Diceros bicornis minor: one gene and its partner. The protein of the gene in region 1 purifies or fractionates together with the protein of each later gene. This does not show direct contact. Links are inferred from orthologs where the notes say so. Each region holds a gene or a part of one and is shown on either strand. Other genes may lie near its edges. The genes, in order: RANBP6 and ARMCX3.

Region 1 (10,887 bases):
TTTAGGGTATTGACCCTCCCCTAGTCCACACACACATCCATTGTCTAGTTTTCAAGGTCTCGGTTCATCTTATCAGACGTTAGTAATTTATTAGGCATTTACAGCGTTCTCTCTCTCCTCGGAGCCCATAGATGTAACTCAGCTCACAGGAACAAAGGCGGGGACCAGCTCTACTTTAGCAATTGACAACCAAAAATGTGTCTGACTAGACATCCCTCATTGCCTTTGACAAAGCCCAAGAATCTGGACCCACCCTACCCCAGCAAATATCCCCTTTTTTTAGCCACTAACCCCATTTCATGACTCTCAGATAATATTAACTTACATTTATTGAACCCCGTGTCACTAAGCATTTTATATTCATTATCTCCTATGAGCTAGGTATTATGACCATTTTACAGATGGAGAAACTGATGCTTAGGTTAAAAAAGTAGTTTGCCAAAATTCAATTTTAGGTCTGTCATACTTCAAAATTCTCTAGGTGCCTAATTCTAAGTCATCTGGCAGAATTACCAATTCCTCATGTACAAGAGTGTAGGGAATTGCTAGAAATGTTGATTAAGGGCTTCTTAATTAAGATAAAGAGGAGCGGTAAGTGAAGGAACCTCTGCTATAGGTCATGGAGAGGCCAAGATGTAAGCTATTATGTAAGTAGGATCAGGTCCTGGAACTTAAAAACAAAGAAATATATTTCTATTCTACTCTATTTCTATAATATTTTATTATACAAGAAATATGTTGGTTGTAGGTAAATTAGAAAATACAGATAAATGAGAAGAAAAATTGCCATTTAATCCCACCACCCAGAGAAAACCTCTATTAATACTTTGTGGGGGGATTTTTCTATTTATTCATCTATACTTTTTTATCTTAAATAAACTTAAAATTGTGACCATACTGTACTTAATGTCCTTTCCTTCCCCCCCCCATTAACAATAAATAATTGTAGGGAATGGACAGGAATTGCATACCTAAAATCTCAACTTCATATCTCTGTGCACAATGGCCTAGATGGCCTGCTCATCTGAACTGGTAGAGGGTGAATCAGGGAAATTCTAATGTAAGAGGAATTCTAAACCATAAAAAAGAACACAGTAGAGGTACAAACAACAGCAATAACAGCTACAATTTATTAAGCACTTACTAGGTCTTAAATATTTGCTAAATACTTTACATACACAGTACTCACAATAGCCACAGGAAATGACAGATGTATTTGTTCTTAAATTTTGGATCAATGATTTGCTGAGTAGAATGCTTTTATCCTACCCTACCAAAAGCTCAACATTAAAGACCAACATTCTAATTCATATAATTAACCCTAGATTTATGGGACTGTTTTCTTATAATGCACATCTACTGCTAAACAACTGGTCTCAAAACTGTTTTCTTTTTTATGTTTAAAGATAAAATTAATTTTGCTTCCCCTTCATTTTCACAATAGAATACTCCTCAGTGCTATTATAGAATCTATTAAGAACTTTTTCAAAATAGAAATCTATTTAGGCCCCATTTTGAATCAGGGCTTCTTTTCTCATTGAACTGCTTTGCAGGGGGAAAATGGCATACATACACAATGTAATATTCTGCTCAAACACATAACACTGATTGACTCCCACAAATATCAATTACTTACTATTTGTCAAATATTGTTACAGTATGTACATGCTACCAATGTTAGATGCACCAGGACACCCTTTTCAGTACACATGGTTCTTAGAGTCCTGGATAACTTAAAAAATAGAGACTGGTCTGGCTTAGAAGATTTTAAAGTTCTCATAACTCTCAGCTGGACACCTTGGGAACTAGAATATGGATATGCCTCACCTAGTTCCCACGAGGACATTATGAAAAAGTTCATATACATTATAGAGAAAACTCCCCACATCTACTGCAATATCTCAAAGCTCTTGGCCAATTTCAGCATCTTCCCATTTCCATCAAAACCAGGAGTATTAACAAGGACGAATAAGCCTGCCACTATATTCTTCACCCACTATTCCAAAGATGTTTGTCCTGGAAGTTCTCCTATCCTATCTTTGTGAGCTCTTAGCATCTTGTGATAGGCAGCATGACATCTTGACACCAAGCGTATTGCTTGTCCAGCATCAGTGATTCAGACAAACAGCAATGATTTATATACTTCACATCACATTAGAAAGGGGACAAACATTCTAAGACAACGGAAGCACAGGTTATCATCAAGGTCTGTGTATAAGAGATAAAACATGCAAGGTGAACAGAAGGCTGTAACACTGACTAATCCTGGAGAAACATGGGGAAGGAATATAAACTGCTTAGCAGGGAGAGAACAGTTCTCTCAATTATAATAGAATTCACTCACAACACTTATTTGGAGTTACTTTTATGGTAGATGATATTCAAGTGATATTAAAGTGTTTCAAGCAAAATTTAGCAACTCCTGTAAGGCTTCCTGCTGCTCATCACCAAGTTGGCATATGCATTCCAACCATAATTCTTCAGAAGTCTGTACCTGACGCACAACATTAGCTAGGCGTTTGGCACAAGGATCTTCACAGTTAATAGTCTCACTAATTTTTCCTTCTGCAATTATACTGATTATTTTGGGAAGATTGGAATTATTTGGACCAAGTACAACTGGATGGTTACTTTCAATTAAGTCACAGAGAAAACTCAAAGTCTGAATAGCTTCCTCTTTATCTTCATGCAGTGGAAGCCATGATAACCAGTGTGGAAGAACTTCATCTACATTTACACAGTTAGGCTTAAACCTCAAAATCTTCCCCACTGCTGAGATACAGTTCTCTGTAGCAATGACATTCTTTTTGGTTTTGGAATTTGCACACTTAATAACTTTTACCAGCAGTGGAACAGCTTCAGAACATAAAGAACGATAATCATCTCCACCAAACTGTGCCATAACACCCAGGCCATAAGCAGCAGCTTGCCTGACTTCAGGGTTGTTATCTCGCATATTTAGTAGCATTGGCCACCGAAAATATTCTACATATTTAAATGAGGTTGGACTGCAGTGCTCTATGATATCATCAAATATGCACAGTCCCCACTGTCTGTCTGGCCATGGCCTACTAGAACAAATTAGATTTACAATTAATGGAAGCAGCTGTTCAAACCATGGTAAAATCTTTTCCTTATAAGTACTAAATAATGAGTGCAAAATATCTGATACTTTGGTTAGAATATAAACATCACATTCATCCTCATCTTGCAGAGACATTTCAACCTGTTGGTCATAGTTTTCTTCCTGTCTTTTAACCTGTCTCAATTCTTGGTTTTTAAAGTGCCCTTCAAGTTTTGCTTTCAATATTTCTCCCAGTTCTTCCAAGTGTTCATCATTAAGGCATCCATCTCCCATTACTTCAATGGACTTTGCAAAAGAATTCATTATTTCTGAGAGTACATCTGTATCAGGTTCAGTCCCAATAGCCTTGATTAAGGGATCACATATGAATTGCCACATCTGTGCAAGATACTCTGGGCCACGAATTCTTGCACATTCCAGGAGAAAAGGCATGGACTCTGCTGCTGCCACTCGAACATTGTCATGGAAATAAAATTTCAGTAAAGGAACCATCAGCTTTACAACTTGTTCTGTATATTCCACAAATCCTTCCCTTAACTCCTTAGCATAGTAAACCAACATCTGGCAAGCAGTTGCTTTTGCTTCAAGTCCTGAAGTTTTAATTCCAAAACTTTGCTGGTCTCCAAGATTTACAAATTGCCATCCATCATCATCACTCATATTCTCCACGTCTTGTGTGTCTAAGAGAGCAACATCAGGTTTAGCTGAAGCAGTCTTAATGAGAGGCTCAATAACCAGGGAAAGGTACTGTTGAAAATCATTTCCAAGAATTTTACACATTCTGGCCCATGCTGAAACCATGTAAGTAGTCTGAGGGTCATCATCTTCCATATTATTTAAGTCTGATTGTGTCTTCAACAATAGTTGCATCACATTTGGTGCATCCTGCGTAAATTTTTCCTTCCCAACAGCAAGGCCAACATGGCTAATGCATTCAATAGTTTTTCCTTTCAGAAGCTTGAGTTCCTTTTGAATAGCAAGCTCAACGATGTGCTTTAGTGAGGGCATAAATATATCATAATATGGAACAAATTTTTCTTCTATTGTATCTGCGACTGAGGCAATGGTTGTCACAAGCTGTTCCAAGGCCAACTTAGTTCCATTTCGAATCAACTCTTGAAGTTTAATCACCAAGATGGAATGTAGATTTCTCACCATACTATCCAAATATAGAACTAGCAATGATTTGGGGCAGTCTTCAATAAAAATAATAAGTGCGGAAGCTGCATGTGATTGCACACGCTGATTACCTTGATTTTCCATGGTACGCAACAGAGCTGCAATCACTGTTTCATGGAATTTCTTTTGGAAGTTAGGTGCAAAATCTGTGGCCATCTGTCCAAGTGTAGTACAGGCTGCAGCCCTCACCCTAGGATGGGGATCCTGAAGAAAGAGCAAAACAGAGTTAACCGTTTCATCTAGAATTGATTCCATTTGCTGATGGCATCCTTCTCCAATGGCAGATAAGGCCGTTAATCCAGCATGTCGATATTTCCAGTCAGGGCTCTGAAGCATCTGCATGATATGCTCTTTAGTCATTGGTAAAACAAGTTTTCCACCGAGCCCACATGCGAGTCTGTCTAGTGCACTCTCAGCAGCAACTGCATTGCTGTCAAAATCATCTTCTTCCATTTCATCAGCATTTACCCAGTCCTCATCATCTTGCAGATCAACCATCATTGCTAATATATGAGGAACTGCCTGTGCAATAATATTTGTATGCTTTTTCAACATTGGGGTTGCAGTTTCAGACAAGGTCACTATTACTTCAAGGGCCAGCTGGCGTTGCAGATTGCTAAGTCTAGAGTCTCCACATAACTTTAGACTCAACTGCAGAGTATCTTCTAAATAAGGACCCAAGTATTTAGGTACGGTATCTGCAATCTCAACAAGGGATTCTAGTACTGAATCATCATCCTGGTAGCATGAATCATTCACAGCCTGTAAGATTCCAGGAAGCAAGTCTGCAAAGTCTTTGAAAAGAGCAATATTATTCTCATTAGCAAGTACAAATGCAGCCGCAGCTCTAGCGGATAATGTCCTGATTGCTGGATGTTCTTGATCTTGAATACACTGGTCCAACAACCGTTTGATGATATCCAAATCGTGCCGCTCTTGGTTCCCAAAAATCCCAGGAAAGTGCCAGAAAACATGAAGTGCAACTTCCCATAGAACCACATTTTTAGAGTAGATTGAATCAATAAGGAACTTCAGACCTTCGGGCCAGTGGTTAGTGCCATCCTCATCTATCAAATTCCTGGCCAGCACTGCAAAAATATCACAAAGTTTTTTCCTCATGCTAGCATGTTTTTCTAACTTAACAGCCAGGATCAGTTCAATCTTGACGTCCCTCTGAACATCAGAAGGCAGATTTGGATAGACTTCCTCAAACCCAGAGGACAAAAGCCGTCGTAGCAGTGCGGCAGCCATTTGTCTCACCTCATAACCCGCTCTTCTATTTCTGACAGCATCTAAGAGGAATGTAGTCTTACACAGACCTGGGATATTTTCATAGATTTCCTCTGCCTGCCTCCGCACCATACAGCTTGGATTGATCAGGTTCTTCAAAAGCTGGTAAAACTCTTGCTTTCCCGACACGGTCGCCGGTATCCCTGCAGACCCGGCCGCCGCCATCGCGCTCTGTCAAAGCAACCGCGACCGGGAAGGAGGGAGGGGGTCTGCGGCGGGAAGCAGTGACGCAAGCGAGGCGCCGGCGGGTGTGGGCGGGGCCGCTTCTCCCTCGGCTGCCTGGGCTCTTTGGATGCCCTCTGGGGCTGGGGAGCCGGGTGGCGGGGCGGATAGGTGAGAGCGGGCTGGAGGCGAGAGGCATCCTCCACCTGTTTTCCAACCAGACAAAAATGCACCTGCAGAAGGGAAAAAAAAGAAAATATGATATTGATTGTATTAGAATGGGATTATGGGTGATTGATTTTCTCCTTTCCTTTATTTCTAAACTCTATTGTTGTTATCTTGATGATTTTAAAACAATAAGTACATCTTGAAACTCTGCTAAGTGAAAGAAGCCGATCACAAAAGATCCCATATTGTATGATTCCATATATGTGAAAGGTTTTGAATAGGCAAATCTATACGGAAAGTAGATTAGTGGTTGCCAGAGGCTGGGGGGAGGGGAGAATGGAGAATAACTGCTGTCAGATAGGCGGTTTCTTTTTGGGTGATGAAAACGTTCTAAAATTGATTGTGGTGATTGTTGCACGATTCTGTGATTATGCTAAAGACCACTGAATTGTACAACTTAGATTGGCGAATTGTACGATATGTGAATAATACCTCAATAAAGCTGTTTATCAAATAAGTGCAATAAAAGATAAAAACAATGATTACCACCCCACTACAACACCTAATACAGTAGAGCAGTGGTGCTCAAACTCTGATGTGTGTCAGAATCACCTGGCCTAGGGATTATAATAAAGAAGGAGAAAGACAACTGAATAAAGTATGGTGGAAAGTGTACCTAGGCTAGTAATCAGAAGACTTGACTCTTAGTCTTATCTCTAAATTAATTTTGTATCCTTGGTCATATCACTCAAGGTTTTCCTTGCATGTTGTCTAAATTGTAAAGTTCTTTTACAGTTTTCCTTTTAGTAGGAAGATGCTGCGATTATTTCAAGAAACAAATACCCCTAAGGATAAATATTGTTTCTTTAATTCAGGCAATTGTGTCAATCAAAAGCAATAATCATTCCTCTAACAATGATTAGATCTTACTTTCCTGTTAGCACATTGCCACTCTGTCATTTTGACCATTATACAGGTTTGCAAGATTAGTAAGATAGGTATAATACTAATTTTAGGTGAGAAATGGAAACTCAGGGAGGTTAAGAGATTTGCCTAAGATGACACAGCTGAGTCTCAAATCCACCTCTTCTGAAAGCAACACCAATACTCTTTCACCATAGCACTTCTCCATAATTACTCTTGGTTTGGCAACATGATCAGAGTCCTTTACTTATTGCAGAGTCTGTCTTAAACTTCTCCAAGTGGGCTTAATTTTAATTTTGTAAAATGCTGCTGCATATACCCACAAAGATAGAAAATCCCAGTTTTCCCATTAACGAGATAATACACTAAGTAGTCTCATAAATTACATTGTAATATGTGATACTATGCTCATTTAGGAAGAAACCTTATTCTTTTAAACACTTTCTGTGGACTGAAAACCAACTGCATCAGAATCACTTGAGATGCTTATTATTTTTTATATAATTTTTTATTGATGTCATAATAGTTTATAACATTGTGAGATTCCAGTTGTACATTATTATTTGTCAGTCACCGTATAAATGCGCCCCTTCACCCCTTGTGCCCACCCCCAATCCCTTCCACCTGGTAACCACCAAACTGTTCTCTCTGTCAGTGTGTAAGTTTATATTCCACATATGAGTGAAGTCATACGGTGTTTGTCTTTCTCTGTCTGGCTTATTTCACTGAACATAATACCCTCCAGGTCCATCCATGTTGTTGCAAATGGGACAATTTTGTCTTTTTTTATGGCTGAGTAGCATTCCATTGTATATATACCACGTCTTCTTTATCCATTCGTCTGTCGATGGACCCTTGAGTTGCTACCACTTCTTGTCTATAGTGAATAATGCTGCAATGAACATAGGAGTGCATAAGCCTCTTTGGATTGCTGGTTTCAAGTTCTTTGGATAAAGAAGTGGCATAGCTGAATCATAAGGTATTTCTATTTTTAATTTTTTGAGGAATTTGAGATACTTATTTTTAAATACAGGTGTTAGGACCCAAGTTCTTAACTACTGAATCAGAATTTCTGGGGAATGCAACCCAAGGAAGTTCAGTTTTAACAAGCACACTGGGTTTTCATATAAATACCAAAGTTTGAGAACCACTGATGAGATCAATTCTGGTTCTGATTCCAAGATCTTGACTATAAGTTTGCATCTTGCTCCAGAATCACTGTTTTTTTAACTGTTCCTTGAAATAGTCTAACTGCAGAGCCTTTGCATTTGCTGTTTCAGGAAAAGTTAATAAGTATGTGAGAGGAGAAAGGCTTTTCTTAACACTATATCTATTGGCATATTAAAGACTTATCAAAAACTACGAGATACCACCACAGACCCACCACAATGTTTTAAATTTAAAAGTCTGTCAATATCAAGGGTTGGTGAGGATGTGGAACATGGAATCAATTATATTTTTGATGGTAGTATAAGTAAATTGGTACAACTACTTTGAAAAAATGTTTGGAAAATGCTGGGTTAAGATTATGCAATTATTCATTTATTCTGTCAGCAAACATTCATCGAGGGTATACTCAAGCATGGCACTGGATGCTAGAGGTAAAGATTAAATACATAAAGATGCTCATGAGAGCCAGTAAATGTCACATAGTGTAGTGATCACTGTGGTGATGGTAAGTCTGCCATGGAACCACATGGGGTTGTGGAGGCAGCCAATCTAATCTGGGTTTGCGGGAAATCAGGTAAGGCTTCCCAGAGGAGGTGATATCAGGGCTGACTTTTGAAGGATGAATCTTCATTAATTATTTAAAGAAAGAGAAGAAGGTTGTTCTAAGTAGAGGGAACAGCTTTGTTCATATGCAGAGAGGTGTTAGAGCCTAGTGTGGTAAGAGTTCTGCCAGTATTTCAGAATTGCTGGAGCATTGGGTATGGGACTTGAGGGTGCCTGGGATGATACAGGAGGCAGGAAGGAGGAAGACAGAAAGTTAAATAGAGGCCAGATCATGAAGGTCTGATACTCCATGTTAAGAAATTTCGATTTTTTTCCTAAAGGTAGTGATGAGCTGTTTAAGGATTTAAGGGCTGTCAGAAATAGTCAATTTTTAGAAATATTGCTTTGATAATAGTGTGAAGACTGGGGGCATTTAGGAGGCCAATAACCTAGTTCAGTTAAGCTGAAAGTCTAAACTTTATAGCAGTAGTGGAGGGAAAGAAAAGAGGGCAAGAATTAGAGAGGTTTTACGAGGTTGTATCAATAGCACTTAGAGGGGAAGGAGAAGCTTGGGAAATCTCCCCGAGTTTTGGCCTGGGCATCTGGCTGGAGGTACTGCAATTTACCTATTTATTTACCTACATATGAATAAATAACAATGTTAATGCAGACCAAAAGACAACTAATTCTTTCTGAAGGAAAAAGAGGCTTCCCTAAGAAGGTAAGTCAGTCCCAGAATCCATGTTTTGTTCTCTATATGCTATAGTGACAGTCATTGTTTTAACAGTAGAAGCTAAACTGAATCCATTTTAGGAAAATTATTTATGATCTTTTATTTTAGAAAAACATACACTGATTTAAAATCTTAAGGTACTTCCTCTCTAGATTACGTAATTCTGTTCTATTTACTTTTTGCATTGTTATTTCCTTTCTGGTTTTCCCCTAAGGAGCGCATATAATACCCAAGATTTCAAGACTGGACTTGCAGACTTGGTTAGGATTGAACAACTTTATTAAATTTTGTAATTAAAATTGGCTTTTAAAATTGTTTGCACTGTTGAGAGGCTGTTTAAGAATGTTTCCATAAGGTGGCTCAATACAGAAAATTCAAGTGTTTATTAGCAGCTTGCTAAGTGGGGAAAGTGCAAAATAAGTTGCAACTTTCTTCCAAGATCTGAGAGATTTAGAGTCAAATGAGGGGGATATAATTACATTGTACATACTTGACATTTTTACAAGAATAATCCAGAATAAATAAAAACACAGAAAACAAAAAATATCATGAAGGCTCCCGCTGGCCTAAGATGGGACAATCTGAATATCAAAAAGAATAATGCCCACAATGGATTAAAAAACATCAAATTTATAAACAAAACGGATGAGTTTCTATAATTAACAAAAGCCACAAACTCGTTAATTACCTTTGGAGGTTGCTAGGTCACTAACTCTGAAAATTGATAGATAAGATTTTTCCTGTCTTTGCTGTACAAACTGTATTTCAGGATAACCAAATAGTTGATGAGGGTACATTCTTCTTTATAGAATTTCAGCTAATAAGTGCACAAAAAATGCTAAAATCAGAAAATTGCTGTGTTGTAATCCCCAATGAAATAATGAATCTAGGTAACAATAACCAATGGATGCTAAAACCATTAAATGAAACATTGATTGGGCATTTAATAATAGAGGAATTTGGCTGAAACCACCTGAAATTACGGATTAATCTTAATATTATTAAAAGGGGGATAAACCAGAGGTGTCATTTACCTGTTCTCTTTCAGCTCCACATCCGTACTTCCTATAATTGGTTCTCTGATGCTGAGGTTAGGCTCTGGAAACAAATTTCTCTTTTCACACCTGGGTTGCTGGTAGGTTTTACCAATAGGAGCCACTAGAGATTGGAAGATAGAAAAGGGACGGAAAAGGGATTAATCCTTCCTGTTCTTCTTTTTCTTGTCTGGATTGCCCCAGCAGTGACCCCTCCTCTTGGTGGCAGCAGTTTCCTTCCTTTTGCAACACTCAAAATACCTGATCTCTCATCTCTGCAGAGATGCCAGCAGTAGCCTGGGGGCACCCCTTCCTCAGAGGTTTCACCCACAGCTCTGGGAGGTCCCTCCTTTGAGCCTAAAGATACCAGTTCCATTTTGTTCCCTCAGCTTCCCTCAGGGATGGTAACAGTTCCTTCAGTTATCATCTTTGGATTACCTCAGTGCTATTTATTTACTCTTTCAGGTCTCTCACACCTGTGTAACCAATCCCTTAAGTTAAATCTCCTCTTGACATACTTAGTATGGTTTGTTTTCCTAACTGGACCTTGACTTCTCTCTCAGGCATTAAGTGATGCAGTGGGAAGTACGCTGCACCAC
Region 2 (10,887 bases), on another chromosome or scaffold:
AAACCAGTGTGCTTTCAATATGATTTATAAATTGATGGATAAAATTAATCTATAGTGAGGTAGTCAGTGTTTTTATCATAACCATTTTAGATAAGTAAACTACTATCCCTTCCTTCTTCCTGGCTGAACTCATAGTATCAGGCATCAGACGACTGAGATCTTAGAAGACTGCTTTCATTCTGGCTTTAAAGGACAGACTTTATGCAGACCCCAAATTCCGACGAATCTTACATCTCCAGATGAAACTTACAAATTAGTAACTTCAAAGATTAGCCTGCTTTTCATTCAAAGGTCTTTATTTAAAATCTATTCTGAAGTTTCACGGTGTAACCCATAAATCATCCAGAAATTGGAGAATTCTCTGTTATGCCACTGATGGAAATGAGACTCAATAGATGGAATTTTCATTGAATCATGACACTGGTGAGATACCTTTGGCATCTGTCATTCATGTACTATGTCACCCTAGCAGCAGCTAGTGTTGAGCCTCTTCCAGTGGAGACAGTGGTGTGGCTCTGAGGGTGACTGTGAATCCCTGCGACACCCCTGAGATCCATGTTATTGTTCCCTCACAAAAATCACAGTTTACAGGATCCCAGGCAGTCACCAGCAGAAAGAAGCCTTTTCATTCCGTGCCTTCTGTTACAATTTCACCGCACTGCCCATACAAGCCCCTCATAATAATCCCAGAACTCGGGGACAAAGTATGCCATTAGTCCCCAGACATTCAGCTGTCCCCGCTGGGGAGTCATACTCTAAATATAGACCTTTCAGGCAGTCTCTTTCTTAGAACGTTGAAATATGACACCCCAGCAGGAAGCTCCCTGATGGAGGGGCCCCAGTGAGGGGGAGGTCCTTTCAGGAGGTGAGCCAGGGAGCCCAGAGTGCCTTGCTGGTGAATATTCAGAAGTGAAGATAATGTCACAACTTTCTGGTCTTCCTCAAACTTTTATAGTCCTAATTCACTCACCAATATCATACCTCGTCTCTCTAAACCCCTACCTCATTTGTTTTGCAATCATCTCCTGAAACGGTTCTCTTTGTCACCATTTACTTCTCTTAGACAAGTGAATTCTTATTTATGAAGTCTTACTAACAGAACTGGCAGATTCAACTGTTCGTAATTCAGGTTTTGGCTACTAAGTACTTATATAAATGGCTTTTGTTTGTTTGTTTGTTTTTAATTATTTTTTTTTGTGAGGAAGATCAGCCCTGAGCTAACATCCATGCTAATCCTCCTCTTTTTGCTGAGGAAGACCAGCTCTGAGCTAACATCTATTGCCAGTCCTCCTCCTTTTTTTCCCCCCCAAAGCCCCAGTAGATAGTTGTATGTCATAGTTGCACATCCTTCTAGTTGCTGCACGTGGGACGCAGCCTCAGCATGGCCGGAGAAGTGGTGTGTCTGTACGTGTCTGGGATCCCAACCCAGGCGGCCAGTAGCGGAGCGCGCGCACTTAACTGCTAAGCCACAGGGCTGGCCCTGTTTGTTTTGAATATACACATTAGAAAGAACTAAGGAGTGTGTAAAGCTTAACAAAGCTTCTAGGACAAAAGCTCCACTCCTACCTCTCCTTACTAGTATGAAGTATCTCCCCCACTTTGGTATATTTTCTGAGTATTCCAATGTATAACCCCCGACCATCATTTTCCCAGTCTGTGAGACCTCTCCTGTCTGAATCCACTCCTTCTCTAAAACTTCCTAAACCCCATGGGAATGATAACTCTTTCAATTCTCTTACTTCTTTGTCATTTTGATCCACAATTTCTACCAAGGAACCTGGGGACTAGCATTTAAAGTGTACTTTGCTCTCCATTATACATCCACCAACAACTATTTATTTAAGGGCATGTTATTTGCTTGACATACTATTTCCAAAGTGAAAAAGGAAAATCCTTAAGCAATTCCTCAGACAAGCCTGTTAAAAGTTCCTGAGCCTGCAAAAAAATATGTGAAGCCACTGCCAAAAGGAACCTTTTGGTTTAAATCAGTCCGTGGTCACATGTGATGTGTGATTTATGAAGTACCCAAAACCCAAAAAGAGTCAGCAGATAGCAACACTAATGGAATTGTAGAGGGTGAGAAAAATAAATTATAAAAGATTTTTATCTTAAAAAGCTGTATTACCTTTTGTATTGTGTTATTTGCTTTTGTATTGCGTATTCGTTAATTTTGTTTGGTTGCAAGCAACAGAAACTAAACCCCGTGAACATAAACAATGAGGAAATGTTGAACACCAGGGTCAGCTCTGAGGGGTCTAGGTGGGAGGAATTGATAGTTGGCTTCTTCACGATGCCATAATTCCACTGATTTTCAGTTTTTTCTCTCTGTTCAAGATTTAAATTTTAGTAAGAGAGTATTGAGTTGGTCTGCTTTGGGCACAATGCCCACTCTTTCGCTGAGGAAAAGGACAAATATGTAAAGTGCACTTCTTTTCTTTTTCCAGAGAGAAATGTAAACTGCTTCAGATGTTGTTGTTGATTTGCAGGAGCCCTTTAACTACTTTGGATATTAATCCATTGTCCAGCTGTGACTGAGGTGCTGAGGCCTATTTGCCACAGCTTGTCTTAGTTGTAATTTTCACATTAACTGAACATTAGAGAGGTACAGTTCTGAAATGGTGATGCATGAGGTTGTCTTCTAAGCCAAAGCTACCTGGCTTCCCTGACAGGATTCCACAAGGTTGCATCTACAGTTCAGGGTCTTGTCCTCACTGTTGCGTGATCAACCCCTGATTTTGTCTGTACACTGGGAGCAGATGCCTCTGTCAAGGAAAAGGACCCCCATTCATAGAGACATATATAAATCTAGATCTGAATGCCCAAACCCACGGATCTCTGGATTCTCTCCCTGTAAGTAGGCCACAGGGGAAGCTAAGTCTCAACAGGAGTGACAACTGACTAATTTACCCTGAGAAATACAACTGTCAGGGGTACTGGAGGTTTCTGTCAGTTTTACCAGTTTTACTGGTAGGCAAGCTACTACAGTCATATATAGCTTAATGACAGGGTACGTTCTGAGAAATGCGTCATTAGGTGATTTTGTTGTTGTGTGAACATCATAGCGTGTACTTACACAAACCCAGATGGTATAGCCTACTACACACTTAGGCTATATGGTACTAATCTTATGGGACCAGTATCGTATATTTGGTCCGTCATTGAAATGTCAGTTATGCAGCACATGACTGTACTTAAGAAACCACAACCTCAGAAGGCTGCTTGGCAATGGCATTGGTTCACCTTAAGAAGTGGCTTTCAGCTAAGGAAGCTTGAAGTCCTCTTACACATCATGAGGATGGCTCTGCCAAAGAAAGCTAAATGTTCCATTCATCTTAGCCAAGACTCTCTCTCCTCCAGACAGTGCTTGGGTGGGAACTACCAACACTTTCCTCTGGCTCTCCTTTTCATATATTCCTGTGCTTGAATAAGCCCCTTTGCTGCACATGACCTTCCTCTAAACAGAATCATATAGTTGATGTGGTTTCTGTTTACTAAATTTCAGTCATATCCTAGTACTGCCTCCCAGTAGTTATATCGATATGAATTTCCCTGGAGTTTTGCCTGTTCCCAAACTTCCCAGTCTCTTGATTTACTCCCATATTGTCTGTGGATTATAAAAGTTATACTCAGATAATAACCTTATATCCAAACTATTAGGGACTATCCCACTGTAGACTCCATGTTCTGACATTACTTTTCCCACTATAAAAAGTTCAGTCATTACTGACAGGTGAATCACTGAGTTCATCAAACTAGCCGGTGAAATGGTTTCACTAATTCATGCTAATTGCTAGATGCCGAGGAGTTCAATTTTGTCTTGGTCTGTGTTCCTCTAACACCTGTTCCATTTGAAGATGCTATTCTCTATTTGCACCAAGTATATTTTGTAATGTTCTTTGTATGCCACTCACTTTGTCAGTGTGCATGGCTTTTTGTCTGGCAGATATCCACTACACAGTTGTAATTTCTACTTAATCTTTTCTGTGTTACTGGCTTCTGAGGGCTCCATGCCTCTTCCTTGCTAACTTGTGCAAGCGAAAGTCTGGAGCTCTCCTGTTCAGAAGACTGGCCTAGTCAGAAGATTATGCATTCGCAGACACACTGATTAGCTCATTCAGAGTTGTGTTATGCACTAGGCCCCAGAAGACATTAAGATTGCTTTGAGTCAAGTGTGTAACATTTGCGGCAAGTGAGAAAATGCGGGACTTTTGGAGGCCTTCATCCAACATCACTCTCCAACTCCCACTCTTTTTTTCTCAAATGAAAATAGCTTTGTAGTAATTTTTTTTTCTCATAAAAAGAATGCAGGCCAGGAGCAGGAGAGGGCAGAACAAAAAGAACAAAAAAGTATCAAGAAAGTAAAAACCACACTCTCCAGATCTCCTTTTCTGATAGCTTTTCCGTTTCAAATCTGGGACTAGCTTTCAGAGGAAATGGTAGACATTAATAGCTGGGACGAGGGGAGGTGGAAGGAGAGGTTACTGTCCCAGGAGCCTAGGGAAGGAAGAGGCAATTTTTCAAAAAGCACAAGTGGCCAGTAGCCCCAGGGGAAGATGCTGTCCCTTTGTGGTAATCAGAGGAAGGCAAACACAACTACAGGGAGCCGGGATTAGCAAAGAAGAAAGAGTAACAAGGCCTGGTTGGGGGAGGGAATGGAGGAGGGCGGGCGCTCTTCTGCCGCACTGCTGGTAGGAGGGGAAATTGGGGACCCGAGTTGGTGGATGACGTAGATCTCACGTGACCAAGAGCTGACGTGTGCAGAAGTCCTTCTTGTTCTGGTCGTTGTTCCCGTCTGAGTACCAGCTCCCCATTGCCCTAAGGGCGAGCAGGCCTGCTGCAGAAGGAAGAAGGAGGAGGAGAAGGAAATTGTCCCGGATCCCTGCAGGTCAGTGCCTGGGAGAGTTCATAAGGTGGGGGTACCGAGGGCATAGGGCGGAGACCGTCGCGGGTCCTGAGGCGCCTCCGTCGTCTCTCCCTCTCACCGCCGGCTTTCCAAGACATCTGTCCCGCCCGCAGCCGATTTCAATACTGCGAAATGGTGAGCAGGGGGGTGTTTGCGGAGAAGCCCAGAGATTCAGAGGTGGGAATACGCTGAGAGCCGAAGCCGTAATCCGGAAAGGGAGCTGTGGCCTGGGTGTTGGCCCCCAGTCCTCCAGGACAGTCCCGGCGGGGAAAGGCTGGACTTGGGGCGGGGGGGGGGGGGCTGTAACGTGGTGTGTCAGCATAACTCCAAGAGGGGTAATAGTGGGAAACCTTTGACAACCAGGCCTCCGAATTAGGAGTCTCATGTTCTGGGGACTGGTCCGTCCACCAAGCACTCGGTAGCGGCTGTTTCTTGTCTTTCTGACTGTGGTCTGTGTCTTCCTGACCATAGCTCTGTGTCTAGTGGGTCCGAGCCTCTCCCGGGTTGCCAGTCTTTCCGTAGGTTGCGGCATTACGCCAGGCAACAGAAGAGGAAAGAAATTAACCCCAATCGGTGAAGGTCGATTTGAGGGTAAGACCATCTGGGGACCCTAAGAGGGGCGGTGGTGGGGGTGGGGAGAAACCAGAGATAGCAATAATCTAGGTTAGGTCTGAGTCTGTGTTTCTTGCACTCTCGGGACTGTGGTGAAATGGCGTGCGTTGTGTGTGAATGTGTGTGTGTGTGTGTGTGTGTGTGTGTCGCAGGGGGGTGGGGGTGGGGGAGAATGACAGAAAGGAAACCTATCAGATAGTTTGTTCGTAATCCTCCTCTATCAACAGCACTTAGTCCCTATGTTTTCGATCTGTCATCCTGCAGGTCTGCTGTAGCAGGTGGCACCACTTGAAGCGAGGGAGGAAGTTTCCTCGGATCAGTAGAGGTCGGTGTGGGCGTGGGGGCTGCCTGGAATGGGGGAGGGGTTGGAAATCGGCCGTGGTTGGACAGGCTCACCCAGTCCTACCGTATTTCCCTAACATCCCTCCCTGAATTCGGGTTAAGGAAGGGGCAGACATGTGCATGTTTTGGATGGCATAGAGAGGTTAAAAAAATCCGACAACCTAGATGGTGAATCAGGAAAACTACTAATGAAGAGTCAATCCATCAAGCCCTCAATTCTCACTGACTCTGGTCTCTCTGCAGATCGCAAGGGTTGTTGGGCGTGGCACACCTCCAGGGGAGGGAAGAAGGGGCAGACTGCCTGTTTGGAAGAGGTTAGTGCAAGGATGCCACTCCCTGGGGACACCCGAGATTGGGGTGGCTGAAGCCCCAGCAGAGACTATGGGCTCCATTGCCTTTATCTAGGCTGGGGAGGGGGTGGGCTGAGAGAGTTTGTTAACAATCTACACTTCCTTTCAAGTACTCATTTACTACTCTCCTGGCCCTCTGTGCAACTCCCTGCATGGGGCAACACAAAGAGAAGAGAAACTCAAACCCATTTCCTTCCTCTACCCCTAGGTCCACCTCCAGTATCAGCTATTGTGGCCTTGAAGTGGCTGAAGACAATCACTCTCCACAGGCCTGCACCCAGGCCCATAGCCCTCCTTCCCCAGCCTGAGTGACTACTCTATTCCTTGGTCCCTGCTATTGTCAGGGACGATTGCATGGGCTACGCCAGGAAAGTAGGCTGGGTGACTGCGGGACTGGTGATTGGGGCTGGTGCCTGCTATTGCATTTATAGACTGACCCGGGGAAGAAAACAGAACAAGGAGAAAATGGCTGAGGGTGGGTCTGGGGATGTGGATGATGTTGGAGACTGCCCTGGGGCCAGGTACAATGACTGGTCTGACGATGATGATGACAACAGTGAGAACAAGGGTATAGTATGGTACCCACCTTGGGCCCGGATTGGGACTGAGGCAGGGACCAGAGCTAGGGCCAGGGCAAGGGCCAGGGCTACTCGGGCTCGTCGGGCTGTCCAGAAACGGGCTTCTCCCAATTCAGATGATACTATTTTGTCCCCTCAAGAGCTGCAGAAAGTTCTTTGCTTGGTTGAGATGTCTGAAAAGCCTTATATTCTTGAAGCAGCTTTAATTGCTCTGGGTAACAATGCTGCTTATGCATTTAACAGAGATATCATTCGTGATCTGGGTGGTCTCCCAATTGTTGCAAAGATTCTCAATACTCGAGATCCCATAGTTAAGGAAAAGGCTTTAATTGTCCTAAATAACTTGAGCGTGAATGCTGAAAATCAGCGCAGGCTTAAGATATACATGAATCAAGTGTGTGATGACACAATCACTTCTCGCTTGAACTCATCTGTGCAGCTGGCTGGACTAAGATTGCTTACGAATATGACTGTTACTAATGAGTATCAGCACATGCTTGCCAATTCCATTTCAGACTTTTTTCGTTTATTTTCAGCGGGAAACGAAGAAACCAAATTTCAGGTTTTGAAGCTCCTTTTGAATTTGGCTGAAAATCCAGCCATGAGTAGAGAACTGCTCAGGGCCCAAGTACCATCTTCACTGGGTTCCCTCTTTAATAAGAAGGAGAACAAAGAGGTCATTATTAAACTTCTGGTCATATTTGAGAACATAAATGACAATTTTAAATGGCAAGAAAACGAACCTACTCAGAATCAGTTCAGCGAAGGTTCACTTTTTTTCTTCCTAAAAGAATTTCAAGTGTGTGCTGATAAGATTCTGGGGATAGAAAGTCACCATGATTTTCTGGTGAAAGTAAAAGTTGGAAAATTCATGGCAAAACTGGCTGAGCATATGTTCCCAAAGAGCCAGGAATAACTTCTTGATTTTGTAGTTTAGAAGCAACACACATTGTAAACTGTTCCTTTTCTCCACCTTGTTTATACGGTAAAGGAATCCTTTCAGCTGCCAATTTTGAGTAATGAATATCATATTGTTTCATCAATGCTGATATTTACCCGAGTTGGTCTTCAGGTCTAAGCTGGATGAATGAATATCACTACCTGTTCTGAAAACATGTTTGTTGCTTTTTATCTCGCTGCCTAGATTGAAATATTTTTACTATTTCTCCTGCATAAGTGACAGTGAACCAATTCGTCATGAGTAAGCTCCCTCCTGTCATTTGCATTGACTTCATTTGTGTATCATCAATAAAGTTGTGTGTTAATGCTGGAAAGAAAGAAAGAAAGAAGCAAGAAAGAAACCATCCTTGTCCTTCGGTTTATAATCTAGTTGGAGAGATAAGAAACATATAAACAAAAAGATAACTGAGAATATCTGGAGCATGTACTCATTGTCAAATGTGCACTATCGGAGCACAGAGGAAGCAAAGGCTTCTGTGGGATACAGCAGTCAGCTACAGATTCATGGAGAAAGCGGCTATCTAAAATGAGTCCTGAACCGGGGAGGTAGTTAGGGCATTCCCTGAGATGAGAGTAAGGGAGGACTGGTGTGAGAAAGGCATGCAGGTAGGAACTCTCTTCCTATGACAGTGAGAAGACTAGTATGCTTAGAGTGGAGAGTGTGGGAAAGGGAAGTAAATAAATTTGGAAAGCTGGGAGAAGCCAGCTTGTGGAGAGCTGTTTGAATATTATCCCACTGAACACCGAGAGCCACTGAATATTTTTGACTAGAAAAACAGTTGGAATTCATATAAAAGTCCCTCTCTCACCTATGTGCAGTGTCCACGAGGGTGTGGCAAAATGGACCCTTTCAAACCCTGGTGGTATGAATAAGTTTACACTGGCACAAGGTTTGTGGAGGGCCATTTGGTAATGCATATCATAAGCCTTAAAATATGTAAACCCTTTGTCCTAAGGGAATAATTGAATAATTGGCCAAAGACTGAATGTACAAGGCTGTTCATGCCAGCACAGTCTAAAATAGTAAAAATTGGAAACAAGTGTCTAGCACACTGGATTGGTTAAATAAATTAATGTTCACATGGTATATGATAAATATGTTGATTCAAATCCATATTGCCAGGAAAAGATATTCATCATGCATTGTTAAGTGAGAAAAGTAGATTAGATAGCAGTATTCATAGTATGATTCCTTTTTTTTTGGAGAACAATAAAACATATGTTTAAGTAGACACTAAAAACTTTGGAATTACAGACACCCAAATAGTAATAGTGATTATCTTTGAGTGGAAGGTTAATGAGTGATCTTTACCTTTTTACTTTTTATTCATTTATGTGTTCTTATTTATCTAAAATGAATATTGATTTTTCAGAAATTTTTGAAAAAGGAAAGTGTTGGGAACGAAGCAGGTGATTGGAGCATGTACTGAGTGGAAAAAATATTTAGATTAAAAATGAGACGGGTTGAAGTTTCTTCTTTGAAATGATAGATGAGTGGTGAAGATAGGGCTCGTTGTGAGAATTAAATGAAGTAATACATGCAAAATACTTAGTATGTTCTGGCACATAGCAGTTAATTAAGAAAAGTGAGCACCCTTAATTTCCTAGAATGCAGGGTTGATAGTTTTTTTGATTGACTTTTGTTTTGCTGGGGGCATTCTGCCATGTGTCAGTGTCTTTTAATAAATAATAACAATAAAGGCTAGCATTTATTAAGTGACTACTTTGTAGAGTTCTGTCATTCCTGCAAGGCAACTGTTAAAATAATTTCTCAAAGGAATAGGGTTTTCTTATTTCTAAGGATTCAAAGTGTTTCCTCAGACATGATATCACCAGCTCCTACAACATATTCCTTGTCGGTTTGGGGATGTTATCCTTCTTTATATACGAGGCCAGGAAAGGGTAAAACCCTCTGTTCAGTTATGATCTGGTTTTAGCCCCAGGCTTCCATAAACTTACTCTAATGTTGTCTATAGTGGACAAAAGGACCGGGGACTGATTGGCTTAAAGTTGTTGGGTATGGTGACCCTATTGAATCATGCACATGTGAAGACTCATTTGACACCAGTTTTAAAGACAGGGTGAGGGAACAGGGAACTAATATTTTTCTTGCTCTATTATTAGGTAGGAGAAAAAGATTTGGGAGGAGAAGTCTAACCCATTTAAAATAAACTGAGTTTGGGGTACCTGTGTGACATCCATATGGAGACACCCTATTGTCATTTGAATGTTTTGATCTGGCTCTCGGAGGAGAAGACTAGGCTGCAAATAAAGATTTAGGAGCCAGCAGAGGATGAATGATACCTGAGAACATGGGAGTGGATGTGATTCCCAGAGAGAAGGCACAGAGTGTAAGAGTGGAGGGCTGCAAAAAGAACTGTGTGAGGGACTGGCAGCTGGAGAGAGAAGCACAGAATTGAAACTGAGTGTTTACCCTTAAAGACACTTTCACTACCCATATACCTATTTATTATATACACAAAATTGGATGACACTGTAGATAAACTTTCAGAGCTTCATTTAAAATTTTTCTACTTTCTCCTAAAAAAACACTCATTGAAGATAGTAACGAAAATAGAGACAATGAGAAAAAACTTGTCCCCTGACCCAGCTATGTAACTTGAACATCTAAAAAAATATTCAGATGAAGCCATGTTGAACTTGGGGAGCTGAGGGACTTTTATGCCTGGGGTGAAAATGAGGTTCATGTTGAGTAATAAAAAGCCACCACACGGCAGGGGCACAGGCCTGACCAGCGTCCATCTGCTCTTGCAGGTCTCTTTTCTCCTTCCTTCCCATTCTTCTTCCCTCTCCCTCCCTCGCACTGTTATCTTTAGTTCCTCCTCCTGGGGGATCATTGGCACTAGTCTCTTTGTGCTTCTGTGTCTTTTGGGGTGACCATTCAATTCCCATGACACCAGGTCGTGCACCAGTGGGCATTTAATACAGAATAATAATTGCTGTTGCTGTGGTAATACGGTGACCCTGGGTGTGACTGGATGCCAAGATCTTTTGGAACCCTTGTTGAACAGAGACTGCGATGAAACTAGTCTTAGCGTGGCACAGCCCTATGTGCACTGCATGTACTTTCGATGTCCCTTACCTGGTATCATTTAGAATTGAATCACCCGGACTTTGGGAA

The links.
Region 2: the proteins of RANBP6 (region 1) and ARMCX3 purify together in Homo sapiens (co-immunoprecipitation; 3 studies listed by BioGRID and IntAct, counting the BioPlex papers as one, with this or other methods). This does not show direct contact. The link is inferred for Diceros bicornis minor from reciprocal best matches to the Homo sapiens genes RANBP6 and ARMCX3.

What each region holds. Positions count from the first base shown.
Region 1 is NC_080761.1:29,933,297-29,944,183, forward strand, and holds RANBP6 (ran-binding protein 6), read right to left. Parts: upstream 5,729-10,887; 5' UTR 5,720-5,728; coding exon 2,402-5,719; 3' UTR 1,113-2,401; downstream 1-1,112. UniProt on the Homo sapiens protein: May function in nuclear protein import as nuclear transport receptor.
Region 2 is NC_080781.1:94,685,681-94,696,567, forward strand, and holds ARMCX3 (armadillo repeat-containing X-linked protein 3), read left to right. Parts: upstream 1-4,754; 5' UTR 4,755-4,885; intron 4,886-4,906; exon of another isoform or gene 4,907-5,038; intron 5,039-5,374; exon of another isoform or gene 5,375-5,414; 5' UTR 5,415-5,494; intron 5,495-5,779; 5' UTR 5,780-5,840; intron 5,841-6,100; 5' UTR 6,101-6,171; intron 6,172-6,415; 5' UTR 6,416-6,561; coding exon 6,562-7,701; 3' UTR 7,702-9,468; downstream 9,469-10,887. UniProt on the Homo sapiens protein: Regulates mitochondrial aggregation and transport in axons in living neurons. May link mitochondria to the TRAK2-kinesin motor complex via its interaction with Miro and TRAK2.